2 linked regions of the Zea mays genome follow. The protein of the gene in region 1 interacts with the protein of each later gene in a pairwise test. Links are inferred from orthologs where the notes say so. Each region holds a gene or a part of one and is shown in the gene's direction. Other genes may lie near its edges. The genes, in order: potassium channel KAT4 and syntaxin 121.

Evidence for each region.
Region 2: the proteins of potassium channel KAT4 (region 1) and syntaxin 121 interact in a two-hybrid assay, tested with the Arabidopsis thaliana proteins (2 studies listed by BioGRID, with this or other methods). The link is inferred for Zea mays from reciprocal best matches to the Arabidopsis thaliana genes KAT3 and SYP121.

What each region holds. Positions count from the first base shown.
Region 1 is NC_050103.1:159,225,797-159,230,172, reverse strand, and holds potassium channel KAT4, read left to right. Parts: upstream 1-1,284; 5' UTR 1,285-1,396; coding exon 1,397-1,557; intron 1,558-1,670; coding exon 1,671-1,886; intron 1,887-1,979; coding exon 1,980-2,135; intron 2,136-2,217; coding exon 2,218-2,275; intron 2,276-2,382; coding exon 2,383-2,700; intron 2,701-2,801; coding exon 2,802-3,140; intron 3,141-3,230; coding exon 3,231-3,266; intron 3,267-3,356; coding exon 3,357-3,620; intron 3,621-3,704; coding exon 3,705-4,079; 3' UTR 4,080-4,314; downstream 4,315-4,376. UniProt on the Arabidopsis thaliana protein: Probable modulatory (alpha) subunit of inward-rectifying potassium channels. Could mediate potassium uptake from the soil solution by plant roots in association with AKT1.
Region 2 is NC_050096.1:292,574,155-292,577,587, forward strand, and holds syntaxin 121, read left to right. Parts: upstream 1-1,521; 5' UTR 1,522-1,840; coding exon 1,841-2,761; 3' UTR 2,762-2,894; downstream 2,895-3,433. Other genes in the region: trafficking protein particle complex subunit 8, read left to right, coding at 1-100. UniProt on the Arabidopsis thaliana protein: Vesicle trafficking protein that functions in the secretory pathway. Together with SYP61, regulates the post-Golgi trafficking of the aquaporin PIP2-7 to the plasma membrane, thus modulating cell membrane water permeability.

The sequences.
Region 1 (4,376 bases):
ATAGAACTTGTATAGGGGAAGATTAATCACAAAGAAACAAGGACAAAAGACACATTGATTTTAGGGTGGTTCGGTCAAGCATCAAATACTTGTCTACTCCAAGTTGTGGTGTCTTATAGAACAAAGAACTGGAAGGCTACTAATGATGACATGACATCGAATATATCATCATTATTGAGCTAGGATGTAATCGGTTCAACTAGAGTTACTCTCTCTGTACTAAAATATAAAAGCTCCAGAATTCAACATTTGTAGCAAACTATAGGGTAAAAACACTAAAAAAGGCAAGATTCACTACCATCGCCTGAATATGGTAATTAGGAAGGGTTATATACATCCTTTGATTCATATGCTAAATAGGAGTATATTCTATAATTACTTAGATAGCATATTTTAGGACTATATATATATATATATATATATATATATATATATATATATATATATATATATATATATATATATATATATATATATATATAGGGAGTGGATAACAAGTCAAGTCTGGCTAGTTACGATTGGAGCGATTCCAAGGTAATAAATATCTGCTTTCTCTGACAAAACAAAAAGGGAAACAAAGAGTCGAATCAAAGATGAAGGATATCAGGTATTAACTCCCGGGGAAGTGAATATTTGGAATCCGGAGTGAATCGAACTGCATCCCGATGCAAGCGCCGCGCGTAATATTACCCTGTCCTGCAAAGAAACGGGAAGGAATCTGACTTGGTCGGCTGCTTCCAAATAAACGATCGGGGTTCTCCTGTTAATAACGTGTATTAACTTGGGCTCTAGGCACTCGCTCAATCTCGCCGTACGTGACGCCGCCGTCTCCTTCGTCGTCCAGCTCCCGCTTCCCGCATCGATTGGCAGCGTCGTCCCGTACGTACGTGTAGCGCCGCCCCTGCAGGCTGCACAGGTATGTATAGTATGTATATTAGCGTACGCGTGACTAATGCAGATTAGAGCTAGCTAGTTTCGGTGTCTTCTCGAGGAGCTAGCGGAAGAGCGCTGTAGATTCTTGGATGGATCTCGATCTTCATCTGCAACAATATATATATAGATGCATTAGAAGGCGCTGGTCAAGCCTAGGACAAGACAAGTTATCTGGATAAACCGCTACTAGCGCTAGGGCTAATCCAATCATTGTCACAAACAAATATTATCGCCGCGCGTCTTAAAATAGCTGAATTATTTGGAGGGTCGGAGTCGGACAGGCAGATCGAAATGCGGCACCGTTGCATTGCTTTTATCTTCATGCAGCGTCCATCGTCCATCGCGCCCGATAGAACTAGATAGATAGATAGCTACTGGTACTATATAAACACCCCACCGTTCAGGTCACGGCGAGGGCAGCTAGCTTTTGCTTCCAACCAGCGGCAGCTAGGCCGCAGGCGGCATGGCAAGGACGCCAGGGGCAGATCAGGCGGGGAGCTGGGCGCTGCCGAGCATCGGCCGCCGCGGCGGCGGCGTTTCCGGCGACCTCCTCCCGGCGTTCGGCGAGCTCTCCCCTACCGGCGGTAACAGCAACACCATCAACCCTTACGACTGCCGCTACAGGTGCGGCCGACGACGCTTGGCCGGTTGCGCTGCTGCGCACGCACGCACGCATATATAATTACAGGGTGCGCTGACGCCTGCCGCCGGGGTGGGAATATCTGTATCTGTATCAGGTGGTGGCAGAGTTTCCTGATCGGTCCGGTGCTCTACTCGGCGTGGTCGTCGCCGTTCGAGCTGGCCCTCGACAGGGCGGCCACCACGCCGGTTGTCGTCGCGAGCCTGGTCATGGACGCGTTCTTCGCCGCCGACATCGCCGTCTCCTTCTTCGTCGCCTACTTCGACAGATCCGCCAATCTCTTCGTCGACGACCGCAGGAAGATCGCCACCAGGTAACTAGTTAGCTGATCGGCCATATCGTCAATAATCTTACGCACGCCGCCGCCCGACAATCTGTACACAAAATATAAAGATCGCGTCATCAGGTACCTCAAGCGGCCGTCGTTCGCGATGGACGTGGCCTCGACGATCCCGTTCAACGTGATCTACCAGCTGGTGAGCGGCAGGAGCACTGGGTGGTTCAGGTACCTCAACCTTCTCCGCCTGTGGAGACTGCAGCGCGTCAGCAAGCTCTTTGCGAGGTACGTACGCGCGCCACGCCATGCATGCCTCGCTCGATCTCCATGCATATGCGTGCAGTTATACTCCTTCATGTTCCTGCAGGTTGGAGAAGGACATACGATTCGACTATTTCTACACCAGGCTCATCAAGCTATGCGGCGTGAGTACTGCGGCTACTAATATATCATGGCATTATTGGCATCGTGCCATCGTGTTTCGTTTACACAGAGTTTAATGTCTCTGGCCGGCGCTCTTGTTTCCATGCAGGTGACGTTGCTGGCGCTGCACTCCTCGGCGTGCATCTTCCTGTGGATGGCGTTCCACCACGGCGACAGGGAGCACACCTGGCTCGGCAGCCAGGTGCGCGACTTCGCGGACGGCAGCGTCTGGGTCAACTACACCTACGCCGTGTACTGGTCCATCACCACGCTCGCCACCGTCGGGTACGGCGACCTGCACGCCGTGAACCCCGGCGAGATGGTGTTCGCCACCTGCTACATGCTCTTCAACATCGGCCTCACCTCCTACATCATCGGCAACACCACCAACCTCGTCGTCCACGCCGCAACCAACACATTCAAGATGGTATGTCGATCGTCGATCGATCATAAGGCGGCCGGCGGTGGGCTAGCTTCTGATGCATATGCTTCTTCCTTCCTTAATTGTATCGATCTGGCGGACCGCAGAGGGACATGGTGCGGCGGGTCTCGATGTTCGGGAGCGTCAACCGGCTGCCGCCGGAGCTGAGGGAGCAGATGATGGCGAGCGCGCAGCTCAGGTTCAGCACAGCGGAGGTGATCCAGCAGCAGCTGCTGTCCGACCTGCCCACGGCGCTCCGGTCCCGGGTCGCGCACCACCTCTTCAGGGACGCGGTCCAGCGCTGCTACCTGTTTCAGGGAGTCTCCGACGACCTCGTCGTGCGGCTGGTTTCAGAGATGAGGGCAGAGTATTTCCCACCCCAGGCGGACATCATCCTCCAGAAGGTGACCTCCACGGCCTGCTACATCATCGTCTCCGGCTCAGCGGTAAGCACTGCACTGTCTTCTCTCTACAACCTTATATATCCTTGCTCCAACACTCTTCATGCCGATCCTGCTGCTTGCTTGTTGCTTCAGGACGTGTTGACAACAGCTGACGATGGAACAGAGAAGGCAAGCCATTCAAACACCACACAATAACGTCAAATTGCAGTGGCGTTCTTGATTCTTTTTTGATCAGCTGTGTTTGCTGCCCTCTTTCAGCTTGTGATGAAGATAGGGCCGCATGGCATGGCAGGGGAAATGGGCGTCATTCTGGGCGTCCCGCAGCCGTTCTCCGTCCGTAGCAGGAGGCTCACGCAGGCCTTGTGCATCAGCCACAGCCATCTCCTGGGGATACTCCGTTCCAACACCGCAGATGCCAACACCGTATGCGCCAATTTTGTTAAGCAGCTCAAATCTCTCAAGGAACTGCAGGTTGCAGAGGATGCGCCGTTTTTCGAGGAGACATTTTCCAAAACAAGCATGGTAAGTACCGTGGGGCTAAAAAAATCGAAACTTGCAATGTGAAGTCTGAAACTTGGTGTGTGACAACGTGTCTTGTTTGTCCAGGATGAGCTTCAGATCGGCTCCATCTTTCAACAGCTACTTAACGACGGCGACGCTGCCAGGATGATTCCAAGGCAGAATCAGAAAGCCACCTTCGGCACCGAACAACACGAAGAGACCGCTCCCTGCATGTTGCCGCGTCGACAAGGCGGACTACGAGTGGTCATTCATGATCGCTTTCCCAGCGATGGCGCGGAGAAGAACCTGGGCCATGCCGCGGGGAAGCTTGTCCTCCTTCCGGATTCGCTGCAAGAGCTGATGAAAGTAGCCGAGGTGAAGTTTGGGAAGGCGCCGAGGAGGGTGCTCACCGTCGAGGGCGCCGAGGTCGACGACGTTGCCGTGCTAAGGGATGGAGACCACCTGGTGTTGTGTTGCTAGCAGTAGGACTGATCAGTTCAAGTAGTACAAGCACGCGCAAAGCGTTTCACCTCTTCCTATTCTTGATGTTTTACGAAAGAGAAAGGAGGAAAATATAGTTGAGAAAGGGTGAAAAGAAGGGGGGAAATCTATGCATCCTGCTGCAAACCCACTCATTTTGAGCAATATGTACGTGTGTCATGTACAATTGTAAACTATGACATCTTAAAATTACAATATTTCAAAACTACATTCACTTAGATGGTGTCCAGCAACTCACTCATTTTGAGCAATATTTATTTACAATATGTACAATTA
Region 2 (3,433 bases), on another chromosome or scaffold:
GCATCTATCTGAGGGACCACATGTGGGTGAAAATGAGAACCGGTTATCTGGCGGTGGTCTAGGCTATCCTTTCTATGTCACTGTCCTTCAAGGTGTCTAAGTAATTATCAGGATTCAAGAAGTACCTTCTTGAGCGTCAATATAGACCAGTGCAAAACTCAGGAACTACACCCAATTGCAACGGGCTGATGATAATAGGTGCCAGCCAGTCCAGTTTGTGCAAAGATCTGCCCCGGAAGTTCCCTGACTGAATATACTTGGATACGCTCATGGTTCTGCTTCGGTACCGATATATTTACACGTCATTTTGAAGGATGAGTTCTGGTGAGTACATGTATACAATTGTCGCTGGGAACAAAAACTAACGGTAATTGCTGGTGGATTTTTGGCAGACAGAATATACCGATAGAAGTTTTGCTTGTCTAATTGTTGATGGTGGCTAGTAGGAGCATATACTATTCCTGTACATCCTGTTTAACTTGTCGCTGCTAGACGATTTCGCAAATGTAGTATGTAGTGGTAGATGGATCCGATAAATTTTCTGTAATTTTGACGAGGTAATCAGGCAATCGTCTCGAGATTGTTGTTGTATGGGCGACAGTATTTTTTCATTGTTTGTACAATCCTTTTAAAAATCATCGTCTGGCCTTGAGCCTTTATGCCATATGGGTATATGTTGATTCCCCTTTTCAGTTCCTCGTATCGACGTCCAGCTGTCCACATCAGGTGCAAGTGTCTGAGGGGTGCTGTTATTTTTGATATTTTCTTTTCTTTCTGATCGTGATGTCGTCTTTTGGAGATCGTAATCACTACGGAATTGCTATGATATTTTGTGTGATGACGTTGTTTTTGGGAGATCATAATCAATACGGAATTGCTGTGGTGACTTCGAAGAGCTAGTGTATCATGTCGCCCCTTTTGCCTCTGATACGAACACATTTGCACTTCTGTAGGGTGCAGTTGTTTTCGGATATCATAACCACTATGTGACTGCTATGATACTCTGTGTGATGACTCTGAATAACATACCATGTGGGTTCTTTTGATACTAGCCAGATGCACGACGGGCTGACGAGCACGGCGCCTTCTGCTCGATCCAGTGCATGCGCCGGCCCGGCCATTTGGCCAGTACCTTCGCCGAGAACTCCTTGATCCTTGTGTGACGCTGACGCAGCATGTCAGCATGTGGTGTAGTACTTGTACTTCTAACTTCTAAGAGATACTCAAGCGACAGTACGACACTATGCTACAGGGTACCGTATCGCCCTTTTCTCTCTTGTCTCGGTGTTACGAGACAGACAAGTGGATCTGTAGCTGTGCAGTTGGGTTGATCGGGTCAGATCAGCCGGTCAGCATGGATCGGATAGTGCCGGGTGGTTGGTAGTTACGGCTCGTTGGATTTCCAGCGAGGCGACCCGGCGAAAGACCTGGACCCGCGCGCCGAATCCCACCACCCATCGCGTCCCCAAGAACCCTCGCTCGTACGTGTCCGTGCCCCCCTCTGCCCTCTCCTTCGTCCCACCTTCCTCCCGCGTTGCCATTTCAGAGCAAGGTGGCGCGCGCCGCCTCCTCATCACACGGTCTCCTCGCCCGCCACGGCGTCACATCACATGGATGCCTCGGCACGGCCGACTCCTTCAACTCCGCGTCCGTCGTCTTGTTCCATCTCGCATGATTGATTGAATCTCCACGCCCCCCTTGTCCAACTACCCCTCCCACTATTTCATTTCATTTCATCCCCCCGATCCAAGAAACCGGCCACCGGGCCGGAGCGAACCCTTAGAAGCGACCTTGGCCCGTGAGGAAGCCAATCAGCCAGAGACAGAACAATCCATCCACCATGAACAGCCTGTTCTCGAGCTCATGGAAGCGCGACGGCGGGGACATCGAGTCCGGCGGCGTGGAGATGTCTGCGCCGCCGGGCGCCGCGGCGGGCGCGAGCCTGGACAGGTTCTTCGAGGACGTGGAGTCCATCAAGGACGAGCTCCGCGACCTGGAGCGCATCCAGCGGTCGCTCCACGACGCCAACGAGGGGGGAAAGTCGATGCACGACGCGGCGGCCGTGCGCGGCCTCCGCGCGCGGATGGACGCGGACGTGGCCGCGGCGATCAAGAAGGCCAAGGTGGTGAAGCTGCGCCTCGAGTCGCTGGACCGCGCCAACGCCGCCAACCGGTCCGTGCCCGGGTGCGGGCCGGGCTCCTCCACCGACCGCACCCGGACGTCCGTCGTGGCCGGGCTGCGCAAGAAGCTCCGGGACTCGATGGAGTCCTTCTCGTCGCTGCGGTCCCGCGTCGCGGCCGAGTACCGGGACACGGTGGCGCGGCGGTACTTCACGGTCACGGGGGCGCAGCCCGACGAGGCGACCCTGGACGCGCTGGCGGAGTCCGGGGAAGGGGAGCGGTTCCTGCAGCGCGCCATCGCGGAGCAGGGCCAGGGGCGCGGGGAGGTGCTGGGCGTGGTGGCGGAGATCCAGGAGCGGCACGGCGCCGTGGCGGGGCTGGAGCGCAGCCTGCTGGAGCTGCAGCAGGTGTTCAACGACATGGCCGTGCTGGTGGCCGCGCAGGGGGAGCAGCTGGACGACATCGAGGGCAACGTCGGCCGCGCCAGGTCCTTCGTCGACCGCGGACGCGAGCAGCTGCAGGTGGCGCGGAAGCACCAGAAGAGCACCCGCAAGTGGACCTGCATCGCCATCCTCATCCTCCTCGTCATCATCCTCGTCATCGTCCTCCCCATCGTGCTCAAGGGCGTCAATAAGAACTAGGCCGCCTGGCCTGCGTAATTCGTTCTAGTTTTTTTTTTTCGTGGCCTTTGTATCATACATACGGTTCGTTGATACGGTCGTCTTGATTATATTTTCTTCTATTGCCTCAACCTTCGATTACATGGTTTTGTTTATAACACATGATTCATTTTCTTTTGCTGTCGATGTGCCTTGGGGAAAGATGAGCGAGCTTAGGTCGGAACTTGCGGGTCAAAACCTGCTTTTGCGGTGGTTATTGACTTTACTCGTACGCAGCACGCACGCCTGTGACCTGACGCACTCCCGGTCTTCCTCCTAGTCGGGCTCGGGCATATACCGGGCCAGTCGCCAGGGCCGGCTGGTGCGCCAGCGCCTCGCATATACCGGGTCAACAATCTTTTGCTATTCTCAGAGTGCCGAGCCACTTACTCTAAATCTATCCTCTATATCCATTATTTATAGTTTTCTTTAAAAATATCAAAACATACTTTACTTTTATTTTTTACACATACATATTTATAGTACTCTAAAATGTATATATATTTTAGTTTTGCTAAATCTGTTGTTTTAAATATTAAAATAGATAGAGTAGAACAGAGAGAAATTCTCTATATAGAGGATCGAGCAGCGTTCTCTATATTTAGAGAGATATGAGAAAACGGTTTAGATAACACTGCTCGAGATATAATGAGG